2 linked regions of the Mytilus edulis genome follow. The protein of the gene in region 2 interacts with the protein of the main gene of each other region in a pairwise test. Links are inferred from orthologs where the notes say so. Each region holds a gene or a part of one and is shown on either strand. Other genes may lie near its edges.

Region 1 (7,406 bases), on a different chromosome or scaffold from region 2:
CCAATATACGACAAAAACAATTTGAATTTTTGCGGTCATATAAAAAATATGAAAAGGCCAAATAAAGTACAATGTTGAAGAACAATGACTACACAAGGTTTTAAAGCTAAGGTAATCTACCACAATCTAGTTGGTCTGTCAGAAACCATCTGAAGTAGAGATATTCAAGCAGTGAAGTCCCTCAAACAAAATGTTAAATTTTTGCACTTTTAATTAAGTTGAATAACAGTTGAATACAAAAAAAATTTGTAAGGGTTCCACGGAACCCAGTGTCTCGCCTACTTATGCTGTTATTTGCAGACTCAACAAAAATGATGAAAAACATCAATAAAAATTTCCCTCTCGATATTGTCTTTTGATTGAAAGAAGCTTCCAAGTTTGGTAAAAAAAACCAGGATAGTTTATGAATCTAATAAATGTTTTATAAACTTTAACTGCAGACTGTATGTAATGTTAACTGGAAGAAAAACTAAGTCCATTTATAAGTAAAATACGGAAAAAGTGATTTTTTTTTTGTTACTTCTGAATAACATCTTATGATTAGAAACAAGCTTTTGTCTAAGTTTGGTAGAAATCCAAGATAGTTTTAGAACATTATAAAAATTTTAAAAACTTAAACCACAGAGTGAATGTTTTGTTTCTGGCAGAAAACTAAGTCCATTTATAAGTAAAATACGGAAAAGTGGAAATTTATTTTTACAAAATTTTCTTCTTGATACTATCTTATGATCATAAAGAAGCTTCTGTCCAAGTTAAGTGCAAATCAAGGATAGTTTATGAAAGACTCAAAGTAATTAAAATTTTAAAAACTTTAACCACAGAGTGAATGTAATGTTTCCTCGCAGAAAAACTAAGTCCATTTATAAGTAAAATACGGAAAAGTGGAAATTTATTTTTACAAAATTTTCTTCTTGATAACGGTACTATCTTATGATCATAAACAAGCTTCTGTCCAAGTTTGGTACAAATCAAGGATAGTTTATGAAAGTTATTAAAATTTTTAAAACTTTAACCACAGAGTGAATGTAATGTTTCCTCGCAGAAAAACTAAGTCCATTTATAAGTAAAATACGGAAAAATGGAATTTTATTTTCACAAAATTTACTTCTGGATACTTTCTTATGATCATAAACAAGCTTCTGTCCAAGTTTGGTAGAAATTCAGTATAGTTTAAGAAAGTTATTAAAATTTCAAAAACTTTAACCACAGAGTGAATATTTGTGGACGCCGCCGCCGACGACGCCGAGGGAATGTAGGATCGCTTAGTCTCGCTTTTTCGAATAAAGTCGAAGGCTCGACAAAAATGTATGTAGTTTCTGTTACAGCTTTTTGATTGTGTACTTCATACATATAAATGTCAGGTTTGCTAATTAGATGACCTTGAACTTATATACTATAGAGTAATATGGGGTTATGAATTTATACCACATGGCAATACTTTGGTTGTGAATTGATTTTTACAATGGATATTAGTTCTTTATTTAAATAACTTTTGGTGTTAACTTTTAATTTAGGCTGTGGCTATTTTGCCCGCATCAGCAAAATAAAATAACAATTTCAAATTTTGCTGGCTCTGATTAAATATCTAAATTCAAGAAGTCAAATTAAAATAGCTTTTTTCTATAGAAATGGTTTATAATTTTGTTTACACATACATGACATATATACATTTCAAAGAACTGACTATTATTTCAAAAGCAAGTTAGTTGAATTCAAACATTTTTGTACATGTCTGTGGTTGACTTTTTTATATTTTTTATTAAATTGTTGATGCACTGAAATTTTTAACATGTATATTTTTTTTTATAAAATAAAGAAAAAAACCTTTTTTTAATTCTTATGCATACATGTAGCATTATATAGAGTGTGTGACTGATTTTCGAAATTATTTCAGCTGCATGTACATGGTTTGATACAATTTCATTGCAACAAATGGGATGCTCTTTATGATTTTTTTTCTTTTAACTTTGACTGATAAATGTTTTTAAACAATTATATGTACATTTTTGTATCTCAAATATTATTAGCTGTTTCTGGGAACAGTATATGTCAGTATATCTGTTTATATGTTCCTGGCTGTTTTCTTATTGAAATACTGGTGTATCAGTAATTATTTAATTCTTTTAAGTTGACAGTGCACATTTTCATAGAACTTTTCAAAAGCAAAATCAAATTTCCTCTTTACAAAGTACAGGCAAATAACACAGTTATTATTTTATTGCTGGTGCCAGTAAAATAGCCATTTCTGCAGCTTGAATTTAGATATTTTAATCAGTGCCTACAAAATAGCCTCTGCCTTTAATTCATGCAAGCACCTGTTCATTACTGAAGAGCAATATTAGTATTATTAAAGTATATAATCTTTTACATTTTGTGAATGTTTAATTTGAAAACAATACAGTTAATGTTATGAATAGGTCCTTGTATAGTCACAAGTGTTTCTCGTGGCACCAAGAACGAGGGTTGATTTGAATATACACGTAACAATGTAATGTATAGTATTAACTGAATAGTATAGTCACTGTGTACATGGTGTAGCTGTATCAGGTCCATTTGCGCCCAATACACTTTCACATCCCACATGTTCGCCCCATAAACTTTCGACCCAATTCTTATTCAAATTCCAGTTGCATTATTAGATTTTTTTTTATACATGTACAAATTTATTCTACCAAAATTAAAATTTAGGAATTATTATGTGAAATATGTGTTTTTTTTCTTTTTTTTATTATTGATTTGATGATTAATTATTCAAGGTTAATTATGTATGATTGCTGATAATTGCTATTCATACACAGCCAAAGGTATTATTATTGTGTGTTTGAAAATCTGGTTGTTGTTTTAGCCTGCTTTGAAGTAAATACTGCATGTATTTAGTTACATTGTGTAAGTAAAATGTAGTATGAATAAAACATATTTTTGAACAGCTTGATCCCTTTGTCATGTTTGTTCCCACTTTATTTATATTAGAAACAATGATTTTTTTTGTGTATAGCAATGCACTATTTAAACCAAAACATAGTTATTTATTCAACACAAAAAAAAACCAAAACATTGTCAGATTTTCACTTACATGACTTTATTTTGAAACAATGAAAAAAAAAATGTCTATAGCAATACACTAACCATGGAAACATGACTTGCGCCAAAGGCACAAAAACTTGATTACAAAATTATATAAAAAAAAGTGCAAACATTTAGGGAGCGAACAGACTTTGGTTGCAAATGTCTAGGGTGCGAAAGTGAAAGGGGGTGAACATGAAAGGGCACGAATGTAGGCGAACTGACCAAATTCTTTTGTGGAAGTCTACTATACCCTATATGAGGATAGTAATGGGGATACCTTCATGACGTATAACGGTAAAAATTCTTGCCAAATGATGTTAACGATAATTTTTAGTGCATGACAATAAAATGTACACTTTCTTTTAGACGATATAACAATCAGCGGAATTTGACAAATCACGCTATTTTTCCCCCCAAAATAATGGTAACGTAATTATTTTTGAGACATTTGACGAATCACGGTAAAAAGTTAAACAATTTGACATTAACCGTAGCCAGTAATGACCGTTTGACGCCTGACGGTAAAGGGCATTAACACTCTCCTATATACACTTACAACTGACTTTAAATTATAAATACATGTAATTGTAGGTCATTGTAGGTCTTCTAAAAAAAATTCAAAAAATGCACTGGCACTTGTTTTATGTGAAACGGAAAAGGAAGACCTCTACCATCAAATGAAACAAGTGCATGTGCATAAATCGAGGCATACATTTATGTCTGGCACATGCATCCATCTCAACCGACACTGTCACTGGCAGAGTCTTCCAGTGACACTCACTGACAGTGTCGGTTGAGATGGATGCATGAAGCTAGGCTATTTACCTGTATGGATCATCTTCTGGATCGTCGTTTAAGTCCTCATCTGACAGCTTCGTTGCACTGTCGATACGTTCAAATCCTTCACTACTCAAGAAATCTTGCCAGGCTTTAGACATGGTGAAAGTGTAGCGAAAGTGATTGTTCCAGAATAAAATATGCTAAATTTTTCAGTTACTGGTTTGGATCTTATTTATTGTTGGTTGAGCCAACGCACTGAGCGAAAATAAATCTGGAACCAGCAGTCATAGTAACAGACCGGTACCGGTTAAAGTGAGAATATTTTCCGAATAGATTATCCGCAAGGAAATAAATAGTTTTACCGACAAGAAAATATATTTTTTGAAGAAGAAAAAAAGGTTCAGAATTATCTCTGTGGTATTTTGTTCTTTTATTTACTTAATGACTTATTTCATTGTGCAATAAAAACTTTTAAATGGTACGTTGTGTTCATTATTTATTTTTTAATTTTAGGTTATCACATTTACCATAAACAATACACTGGTTTAAAATCCTAAACAGAACCAGTAACATTCCACTGAATATTTACATCTACTATCAGAAATGTCAAAAGGGTTAGAATTTCTTCTTCCATGACACCTTTTAATTTCTGTCAATTTCATGAAAGATTCTGTTACAGAGTTCAGCCTTTTGAAAACCACAAAAAATCAACCTTCATATCTCTAACACTGAGTAACAGTAAGAAATTGATCACTTAGGAGATAACTGTATTGTATATTAAGCTCCGGCGGCATCAATTTGGGATTTGATGGTCGCAAATCAAGTTTACTGGCGACGCGTTAGCTGAAAACAGAAAACAACGTTAAAACATGTATTTAAAATCTGTCATATGCCGTCTGCCCTTGCGCGTACGTCCCATAGCATCAATTGACAATTGATGCCATGTAAATAAGTGACGTTATCCAATCAAAATGAACGTTACAAACGATGTTGCATTAGAATAAACATTTAATGAATGGCTATTATTTACTTTGAATTTATTGAACCATAAAACTAATTTTTGACTCTTCACATTGAATAATCCGCAATAGATTATTGCCATTCATTATAAATAAATTTCTATCAAAAATAAGGCTCAAAGAACTTTTTATATTATATATATTAACAACGTCAGAGTGGGCGTGTCGTCTTCAAAATTGACAACATTAATAATAAAACTAAAAATTTTAACCAATCAGAAGACAGTATATACACCAAATTTATTTATTTGAAGAACTCTCAAAACAGGGGTTTCCCAAATTTTGGACACACTTTACTCAAAATGTTAAAAAGGTGAAACCATACATACAGAAGATTTTATGAAATTAAAGTATGTAATGAATTGTTTCACACAATATTATCCAATGCAAGGTTTTATCATTTTGATAAACATGATAAAGTGAAGTTATAAGTCTTAGGTGCACTGATACACCAGACTACACCGTACATGTACCGGTACTTCATTCTACTTATCGCTATTTGTCTGCCATTAATATAAGGCAGGCATATAACCTGTGAATGGGGACGAAGTCTGTATTTTTTTTTTTGAATTCAAACATGTTGATAAAAGAAACGGAAATACCATAATGTTTCCAATATTGGTTCTGTTGTTAGGGATTTAGTTGTGACGTTATTTAAGTTATGACGTCATATTCAATGTAAACAAAGAAACGCTGTTATCCAGGTAATGTTTTTTCATATCAAACAATTATTAAAAATGATTAGGTGTTGAATTCCTTCCTATATTTTTGTTGATATGTTGATAAATATATATTTTATTCAAAGTCTCATGCAAACAAGATCGGAAACGGAAGAAACTGGAAACGGAAGTAGATCTGAAAAAAAAAGTTAACGATTTTGAGTTCATTAGTAGAATGAAAAATTCAGGAAATTTTCCCGATTTTTTTTTTTTTTTAATTGATTTTTCTACCGTAATTGGGGACATTGTCCCATATTAATCATATTACTGGACATCACAACTTGGTCACCTTAAAATTTTGATGTCACAATAGAAATTGTCTGATGCCACTAGGAACATATATATATTGATATTCGATATACTGTTTCACAATACACCTTATCGCTTTTTTGTCCGCCATTACTGGATATCACACGGGTTCCTGTAAAAAGTTGACGTCATAAAACAAAATATCTGACGCCACAATGGAAAAGTGATTGTTGTATGCGTCAAAAGTTCAAGCAGCCGGGTCAGCCAGGATTAGCGATAAGGTGTATTAGGAAAAGAGATTGTTGCACAATGTCAAAATTTTAAGTGTTGCAGAATCCCAAATAACAATAAGGTCCCTAGATTAGTTGTATTTTCTGATAAGGTAACACTAAAATAATGATAGCCAGGTGAGAAATGCAGGCTTTGGAGTTACAAAGCCTCCTGTCTTGGTATACATGGTATAATACAGTAACTGTTTGCCAAGAAAGATGTATAAAAAACAAAGGATAACTTAAAAATAGATATTATATAAACTTATCTAGACTATTTTTAATCAAAGTTCCTACATACTATTATAAACTCTAAATTGTCAAAGCATGATAGACAAGTGGTGAATACATTAAACAGAGGACAAGAAATACAGAAAACCAATACAAAATTTGTAGTGCTAAAAATGCATATATATGATCTATAGTTACAGATATTTTAATGGAAAAAAAAATCTTTGCTTTCAGACTAGAAAAATCTTTATGGGATGTTGCAATACAGGAATCAAATGAAAGTAAAGGTATGATATCAGTATTTATTATACGACCGCAAAACAATTTTTGCGTCGTATAATACTATATCATGTTAGGATTGACTTTGGGAGGTTATGGCTCAAACAAATTAGAAATTAGGGGCAAAAAAAGAGGGAAAACTAGTTTTTCTGGTTAATGGACAATTAAGACAATTTAAAACCAGTGTAAGGGAGGTAATCCAATTACATTTAAAATACAATGTTGTCTATGTTTTGATTAACCTCCCTTACACTACTTGTAAAATATGTAAAAAGAAATGTCAGGTTTTGGACATGTAAAAAAATATATAAATAATTCAAACCATATAACCAATTCTAAGCTCATTGACTACAGTTATTCTGTGTCAGAAACCTATTGTGTGTCAAATATTTAATTACAATCCAAATTCAGACCTGTATCAAGCGTGAGTATTGTCTCCATTTTTGCCCCAACTGTTCAGGGCTGTACCTCTGCGGTTGTATTCAGCTGCGCTCAGCGAAGCAATTTATTCTCTATAATGTAATGTTGAGATTATGGATACAATACAGAAAAGAAAAGATATGTGAACTGGTATCCATCTATGACACAAAATTTAAATCAATGAAAAAAACACATAGCAAAGGAACAGCGCTTTTATTGTTGTTCTTCATCTGATAGTCACATTGAGACCTTCAGCATGGAGCAAAAAAAAATTCACTGCATCACTGCAAGTATTAGACAACCCTTAGCACATACAATGAAGAATATTTACACCTAAATGATTTTAATAAAATTCATTAAAATTTTGCGAGGAC
Region 2 (7,296 bases):
AGTGTCTTCGTCACTTGAAGCGGAGGAATCATCGTCATTGTCACTATTACTCATCAATGTACTTCTCTGACGATATGCATTATTCGTGTTATTTCCAGAATCGGATGGGCGTGTTATAACTGTATATGTATCTAGAAGATCTGGCTCAGGTTCCTTGTCACTAGCTTCTTCTTCAGATGATGATTTCTTACTTTCTTCATTGTCCTGCAAATTGAAATGAAAAATAGAGAAATGAAATGAATACATGGAAAATGATAAATTACATACATGTACATGCTAAAATGTATATATATATAGCTAGCAAGAAACCTACATGATCAATACATGTATATATGTTCAAAGCATCTGAATTAGTTTAATAGATATAAGAAGATGTGGTATGAGTGTCAATGAGACAACTCTTCATCCAAGTTACAATTTGTAAAAGTAAACCATAAGAGGTCAAAGTACATCATTTTAGCTGCTGTATATAATATTTTATATTCATTTATTGTCTTGTAAGTCATGTAAGTTGTATATAAATCAGGCCATATAAGTATTCTTGTTTGAATTATTTTGCATGCAATTTTGGAGCATTTTATAGCCTTCTACATGTATCATGACCATGTTGTATCCATGGGTTTTTTAAACATTAAAGTGGATGTTAGGAACTGCGTGTATAGGCAAGTGTTATCATGGTTATGTTTGTAATGTTTGTTGTGAAATAAATAGTTACATGATTATTGATTTATTTATTTTTTTAAATGTGTATTATCTCTAACATGTCTAAGGGATCATTCCACTTTATAGTTTACAGCCAAGATAATAGTGCATCATGTGCAATGATATTCATGTAACAACTTCCCTGGCCTCAATCCAATAACTGTCAATTCAAGTGATCTGGTAATCATATAATATTAATATAAGCCCATCCAGAATTCTATAACATTTTACAACTTACTTCAGTGTACAAATGGTACAGGTGAAACTTAATTAATATATATTTTCCATTTTTACAGGAAAATATTGTGATTTAGTCTTGGTAGATTTTAGGCATAAAAAATTCCCAATTAAGATAAAAATTCCAAATTTGATGTTCAAGGGACCCATTTGAAAAATACATTAATCAAAAACTAAAGTGAAATGAAAATTTTGTTTCAAGTCTTAACAAAGACTTATCACTAACATGTACATGTAATAGTACAAAGCAGTCCAGTAAATCTGTCAAAATACTTCACTAGTTTTCAAAGTTAAATTTACTCATAACAAATGGACAAATATGGCCGTATTTTCACATCAAAAACTACTCTGTGTACAGACTTACATGTACCTATACCGTTTGGAAAGTTTTAAGGCCTATCATCCACTAGATATATAAAGTTAAATGCATTTCGTGTTTAAGAAAGATAAAATCTTTCTTGGTTTTTGATGGGCATTTTTTTTTCCTTTCTGCAGAAGGTGTAAAAATAAACAAACACCTGAATTACTTTGATACTGTCCACTCACTGACTCGGATAAACTCTTTAACTCACCTATAGTTGTGAAGATGCCTATTGTCCATGTCAATTAAGGACATTCAATACAATACATTGTACAAACCAGTTTTTACCTGAGGGAGCATCTCAAAGTTGATCCACAACTTAGTTAATTTTCATACCTTATGCATGAAGGAAAAAAATGCCCATCAAGATCCAAAAGAGATTGTATCTTTCTGAAACACAAAATGCATTTAACTTTAATATATCTAGAGGATACCAGGCATTAAAACTTTTCCTACGTAGAGACGTACAACATCTACATGTACAAGGACATGAAGGAAGGAAATATGAATGAGAGTCTAAAAAATCAGAGATAATGTTAATTAACCTTACAGTGCAACCACCTGGAGCCACACTTAATGAGGTAAAATATCTGTGTTTAGTTAGGATGTTCAATTGGATAATTAAATATAAATAGCTCAAGTCCTTGTGAACTCTCAGACAGGTTTTTGCTGTCATAGGTGGTGTACTTTGGCCACCTAGCCAAATTATGTTTTTTCATCAACATAAATAGACCTAAACAAGTCTGTCATTTTCTGACTTAGATAAGTCTAAAATTGAAAACACATTTTTATAATAAATACATGTTTTGACTTCTGTAAGTCAAAAACAAAAAATGACTTGTTTATGTCTGAGCTCTGACTGAAATACACACCTTATCGCTATTTGTCTGCTATTACTGGACATCACACAGGTTCCCGTAAAATTTTGACGTCATATAAATACAAAATATCTGACGCCACAATGAAAAAGTCATTATTGTATGACGTCAATAGTTCAAGCAGGACATATGCAGGGAATAGCCATAAGGTGTATCATGAGCAGAAGCACACTTTCAAAACTTTTATGAAAAAATGACTTTTTGTTCCTTCAAACCAAACTTGTTACATTAATTATTGCCTATATATATCTATATGTGTGTGTTAATAAAATACGAAAAACTGTGACCGAATCGACTGTCACCAAACTGGTTCTGTGGCCGAAAAGACGTGTGACAAAAATGGTTGCGAGACCGAAACGTCTCGAAAACACGAAAGCCAAAATAACAACGTATTATCAACGTTTCTTTTCACTACGAGCAAGCTAAACTTATTGTTTAGTGTGTGTATCATTTAAAACAATTAATTGTGTACATATTGCAACCTTATTATTTTGGTCATCTCCATCAGAATCCAAAATTTCACCCTCCTCAAAATCGCCCTGTTCCATGCTTCACACCTTCTAAAATCTGGTACTTGCAGTAAATTCGAAGGTCTAAAAATGCATACTCAAACTGGGAACCAGATTTAGTTCTTTATTTCCTCCTTTCGAAAGAAGAAAAAAGTTTTGACATCACAGATTAGTTAGTGTTAATCATTTTTATGTTGACTTTAAAGTAACTATTATTATATTTATACACTATTTATGATATCATTCACATTCACACGTCTTTGATTTATTTTCTTGTACATTTGATTGGTTTTTAAAATTGCTAACAGTTAAAAAGATACAAGTGTGGACTGTGGTATCCAAGTTGTGAATTTTTTGTTTTTAAATTATTTACTTGCTGATGAGGCTGCTCAATAATCGAACACACAGGTCTCAGACTGTGAGTGAGTGAGTGTGACAGTCAGAGATAATTATTTACCTGAAAATGCAATATGTGTACATGTTTTCTTTTGTTTTAATTTCCTTCTAAATCTTATTTTCCCCCTTTCTTTCATCAAACTGAAACAATATGCCAAATTGGGAATGTCTGATTGATACATAATTTTGTTGATTAAATATTAAATGTCCACTTGCAAGTATTTCATGCATGTTCAGAACGGTATTCACAATGAGTACTATATGTAGGTTCTGCTTAATATAGGAAATGACATGGATAGGTACAAAAATTTAGCAAATAATTAGTCATCTTGAAAGCTATTATAAATACTTTTTGCTTTGACGCATTAAACATTGTTAAAGGGGGTAGTAATGCTCTTTACCGTCAGGCGTCAAATGATAATTTTTCAGCTACCGAACGTCAGTAACAAATTGATTTGTCAAAATGTCCTTATTGTGTATCGTAAAAGGTCTCAAATTAATGTCGTTTAATAGAGTCGTGTTTGGAAAAAAATTAACTTGATGCATCAAAACACTTACAGTCAATTTTTTTTATTGTTTTAAAGAAAGTGTACATTTTATCGTCAAGCACCAAAAATTACCTTAAATCATATGGCATGTATGGCAAGAATTTTAACTGTTATTTGTCATTACTACGTACCCTCTTGTAGAGTATGTACGTAAGACATCATTTTAAAGCAAAAGGTATAGACTAGTAGCCTTTCAAGAAGTCAAACTTATTTGGACTAGCTACTTACTAGACCCCTGAAAGAGTAGTTACAATTTACAAGGGTTTTCTACATGGAGAGAGTGTGACAATTTGTCTAATGATGTCATCACATGGTCATAGAGCATGTATTGTACATGTTGTAGAGTCAGACAGATGAAAATTTACATATTTTACCAAAATCATGAAAATAGGCAATTTGGTCAAAATACAAAATGTATGTATGAGCAACTGCTTTACCTAAAAAAGATATTTTACACACATCCATGTGTTTGTAAAACACATTTTTTAGCCAAAATATCAATGAAGAGGTCAAATCAAAGCTATTTTGATAATTTTTTGCTGCTTTTACTCTAAATGCCATAAACACATCATGTCAGAGATGAATGTGAGAAAGTGAAAGGCTGAACACAATATTAATATTTACTGCCAAAATTTAAGACAAATTACAAACATGACAAAGTGTTTATACTGATGTTCATAAACTAATGTCATACATCATGTGCATATAATAAACATCTGAAGAATGTTTTTGGTCGATTGATAATACAAAAAAAGGGGTCTTGTCATAGATGTGCCTTCTCCTTTATCTATTAACAATGATTAAATATCAGTGCAATATTTGCAGGATGTAGATGATGTATATATATATTTCTAACATACATGTACATGTATGTATTTAATATCATTGTTTTTGTTTTCAGTTTTATACCACCTAGAAGCAGTCACATTGAATGAAACAAATATGAGCATACATATTTACATGAAACTGCTATAATGGAAATTCATGTACAACAGAGGTCATCAGAATGGTTTGAATTGCGAAAATCTGTCCAGCTGACAGCTTCAAACTTTGGTGAAGCTTTGGGTGTTGGTCGAGGTAAACCATATGACTTTCTTGTTTATTACCTCACAGAAGAAGAGGAAGAAGAGACATCTAGTTCAGCTCAACATGGTATTAACATGGAAGTTGTCATTAGTGAAATGTACCAGATTTTAACTGGAAACCAGACAAGAGAAACTGGATTTTGGATACCAGCAAAGGGAGATTACATAGAAGGTTTAGTTGGAGTATCTCCTGATGCTGTTGTTTTAGATAATACCAGGAAACCAGTTGGTCTATGTGAATTTAAAGCACCTGTCTTCTCATTGTATGGACAAAATGCTCCACATGGCATACCTAGACATTATATGGCCCAAATTCAAGGTCAGATGGGTGTCTCGAAATTACCTTGGTGTGACTTTCTGGCTGTCTGTGTGAAAACCAAAAGTCTTATATTAAAACGGGTGCATTTTTGTCAAGATTACTGGGGTAATGCTTCAAAGATGCTGAAAGATTTTTGTCTTGCAATAAAGGTACTGTTTGCAGTTAAAATCAAAAGCTTTTTATAACATGTACATTTGTATAACATTGTATAAGGGATGATTAAGTCTAAACATATTTCGTTTGAAAACATGACATGCAAAATTTATTGCAGTATTCTGAACCAAGATTATCCTTATATTACTAGATGTGAATCAATTTTTCTAATGCATATTTTCCGTTCTCAATTTTATTGGTCATACAATTTGCATGTTTTGAAATGTTTTGTACATGAATTCTTTTGAGTTTAATCAAGTGTGTAGGGGATTTTGTTGGTCATGTATGAGAATTTGCTTTACATGATCATGATGATAAAAAATTAAGAAAATTCTGCTGGTGATCATGGTGATATTTTAAATTGTCTTTAGATGATGTGCTAAATTTTATGGAAAGAACAAACCACAAAATATTGAAAAAAATTTCTTAAATTAATGGTACAACCTGTTTTAGGATATATTAAAAAGGTTGGTACATGTACATTTTGTATTTGACAGTATACCATATACATGTATGAGCTGTGTTGGAAAGAAATAGACCATATGCAAATGAATATCAATACATCTAATAACCTATTTTGGTTTGAAAATATCGCTATGGAAAGTCTGCAGTAACTGTTTCACATGTGTTTCAGCTGTATATAAGAAAATCTACAAACAAGACCAAAATTCATCTTTTATTTGGTAATTTCCTATTTGAATGTTCGAAAATCAATCAAAAGTCTTATACGTGTTCATGTAAACATGCGCCTGCAAAAAACATATAGCTTTTACATGTCTTATGTTGTTTTTAATTTAAAATGTGTTAGAAATGTTACCAGGTTACTGAACATCTGAAAGATTGCCTAAACATGTACTTAAAAAAAAGAAGATGTGATATGATTGCCTATGAGACAATTCTCCACATGTAACTTATGATAAATGACTCAGAAATTAACAACTATAGGTCACCATACACATGTATGGCCTTCAACAATAAAAGGCCTCCAAAATGACAAATGTTAAAAAACTCAAAATGAGAAAATTTACATTGTGTATGCGCAAATTAATGAAAGAAAAACGAATATGTACATGATGTAACACAACACCAGACAACATCACTGAATTATATGGTTGTTGATACATGTATATCCATGATACTGATGTACATGTAATTATACGATTATAAAGCATTTCAAAACAATCATTTGTTCTTTCATATATTACAGGAAGCCAGACAGAATGGAGGCAATGTAGAAAAACTAAACAACGAGTTCATCAACCAGCTGAAACAAAAAGGAACCAACTACTCTAAATTTCTCAGCGGAGAATCCAGTATACGTGTAGAAAACCTCCTTAAACTAAATACCAATAACAAAACCTTTGCTGGACCAACAGATGTTTGGTTTACATTTGATTGTTTAATGGGTAATCACATAGACTTCCCTCCTGCTACAAGAGACTTTATAGATCACCGAATTAAAGAAATTGACAGGGAGATAAGGTTCAAAGATCAACAATCTGAGACATAAGTTATTTTGTTATGTGAATAGAGAAATTTGATTTTTTTTGTTATAGAATTGTTCTTTGGCAGCTTGACCATGTTGACTTGTATCTACTAGATCTGTTATTATGTCAGATGTATTTAGCAAATGGTATACTTAAAAGATATTTAAATTATTTGTAAATTATAAAAATAGCTATGTAACTGAGGAATGTCTTATATTGTGATAGGTATTTAGATCACTTACTCTTTCAAATATAATTATATGATATTTTTTTATTACTATTTTATAGGAATATTACAGAAAATATACTTGTGTACAAAAAATTTTGAAATGAAACATACATGCTTGTTTATTGCTGTTAGCTAGGTGAACCATAAAATCAATAAAACCTTTGTTTCTTACCAAGTTGAAGAATTTAAAGAAGTAAATGTAAGCCAATCAAGTTCTGAGACATGTTTAATAAGAGAATGACTGAAAAAACAGGCAAAAAAGATGCAATTTTAGACATGAATCTCAGCAATTTGTGAATATTAAAAACCATGCACCTGAAGTAATTATACAAGAACATACTTGTTTTTTTTGTATGGGATGGAGTTAAGATGGGAGAAAATACTAGGGATAA

Evidence for each region. The genes of interacting proteins can lie anywhere in the genome.
Region 1: the proteins of phosphorylated adapter RNA export protein-like (region 2) and cytoplasmic dynein 2 light intermediate chain 1-like interact in a two-hybrid assay, tested with the Drosophila melanogaster proteins (2 studies listed by BioGRID). The link is inferred for Mytilus edulis from reciprocal best matches to the Drosophila melanogaster genes Phax and CG3769.

The regions. Positions count from the first base shown.
Region 1 is NC_092346.1:36,842,924-36,850,329, reverse strand, and holds the start of cytoplasmic dynein 2 light intermediate chain 1-like, read left to right. Parts: upstream 1-4,370; 5' UTR 4,371-4,449; coding exon 4,450-4,460; intron 4,461-6,567; coding exon 6,568-6,620; intron 6,621-7,406. Other genes in the region: KIF-binding protein-like, read right to left, coding at 3,892-4,004.
Region 2 is NC_092347.1:45,194,688-45,201,983, reverse strand, and holds the start of phosphorylated adapter RNA export protein-like, read right to left. Parts: upstream 3,102-7,296; 5' UTR 2,727-3,101; coding exon 2,661-2,726; intron 205-2,660; coding exon 1-204. Other genes in the region: uncharacterized protein, read left to right, coding at 4,606-5,184, 6,396-6,698.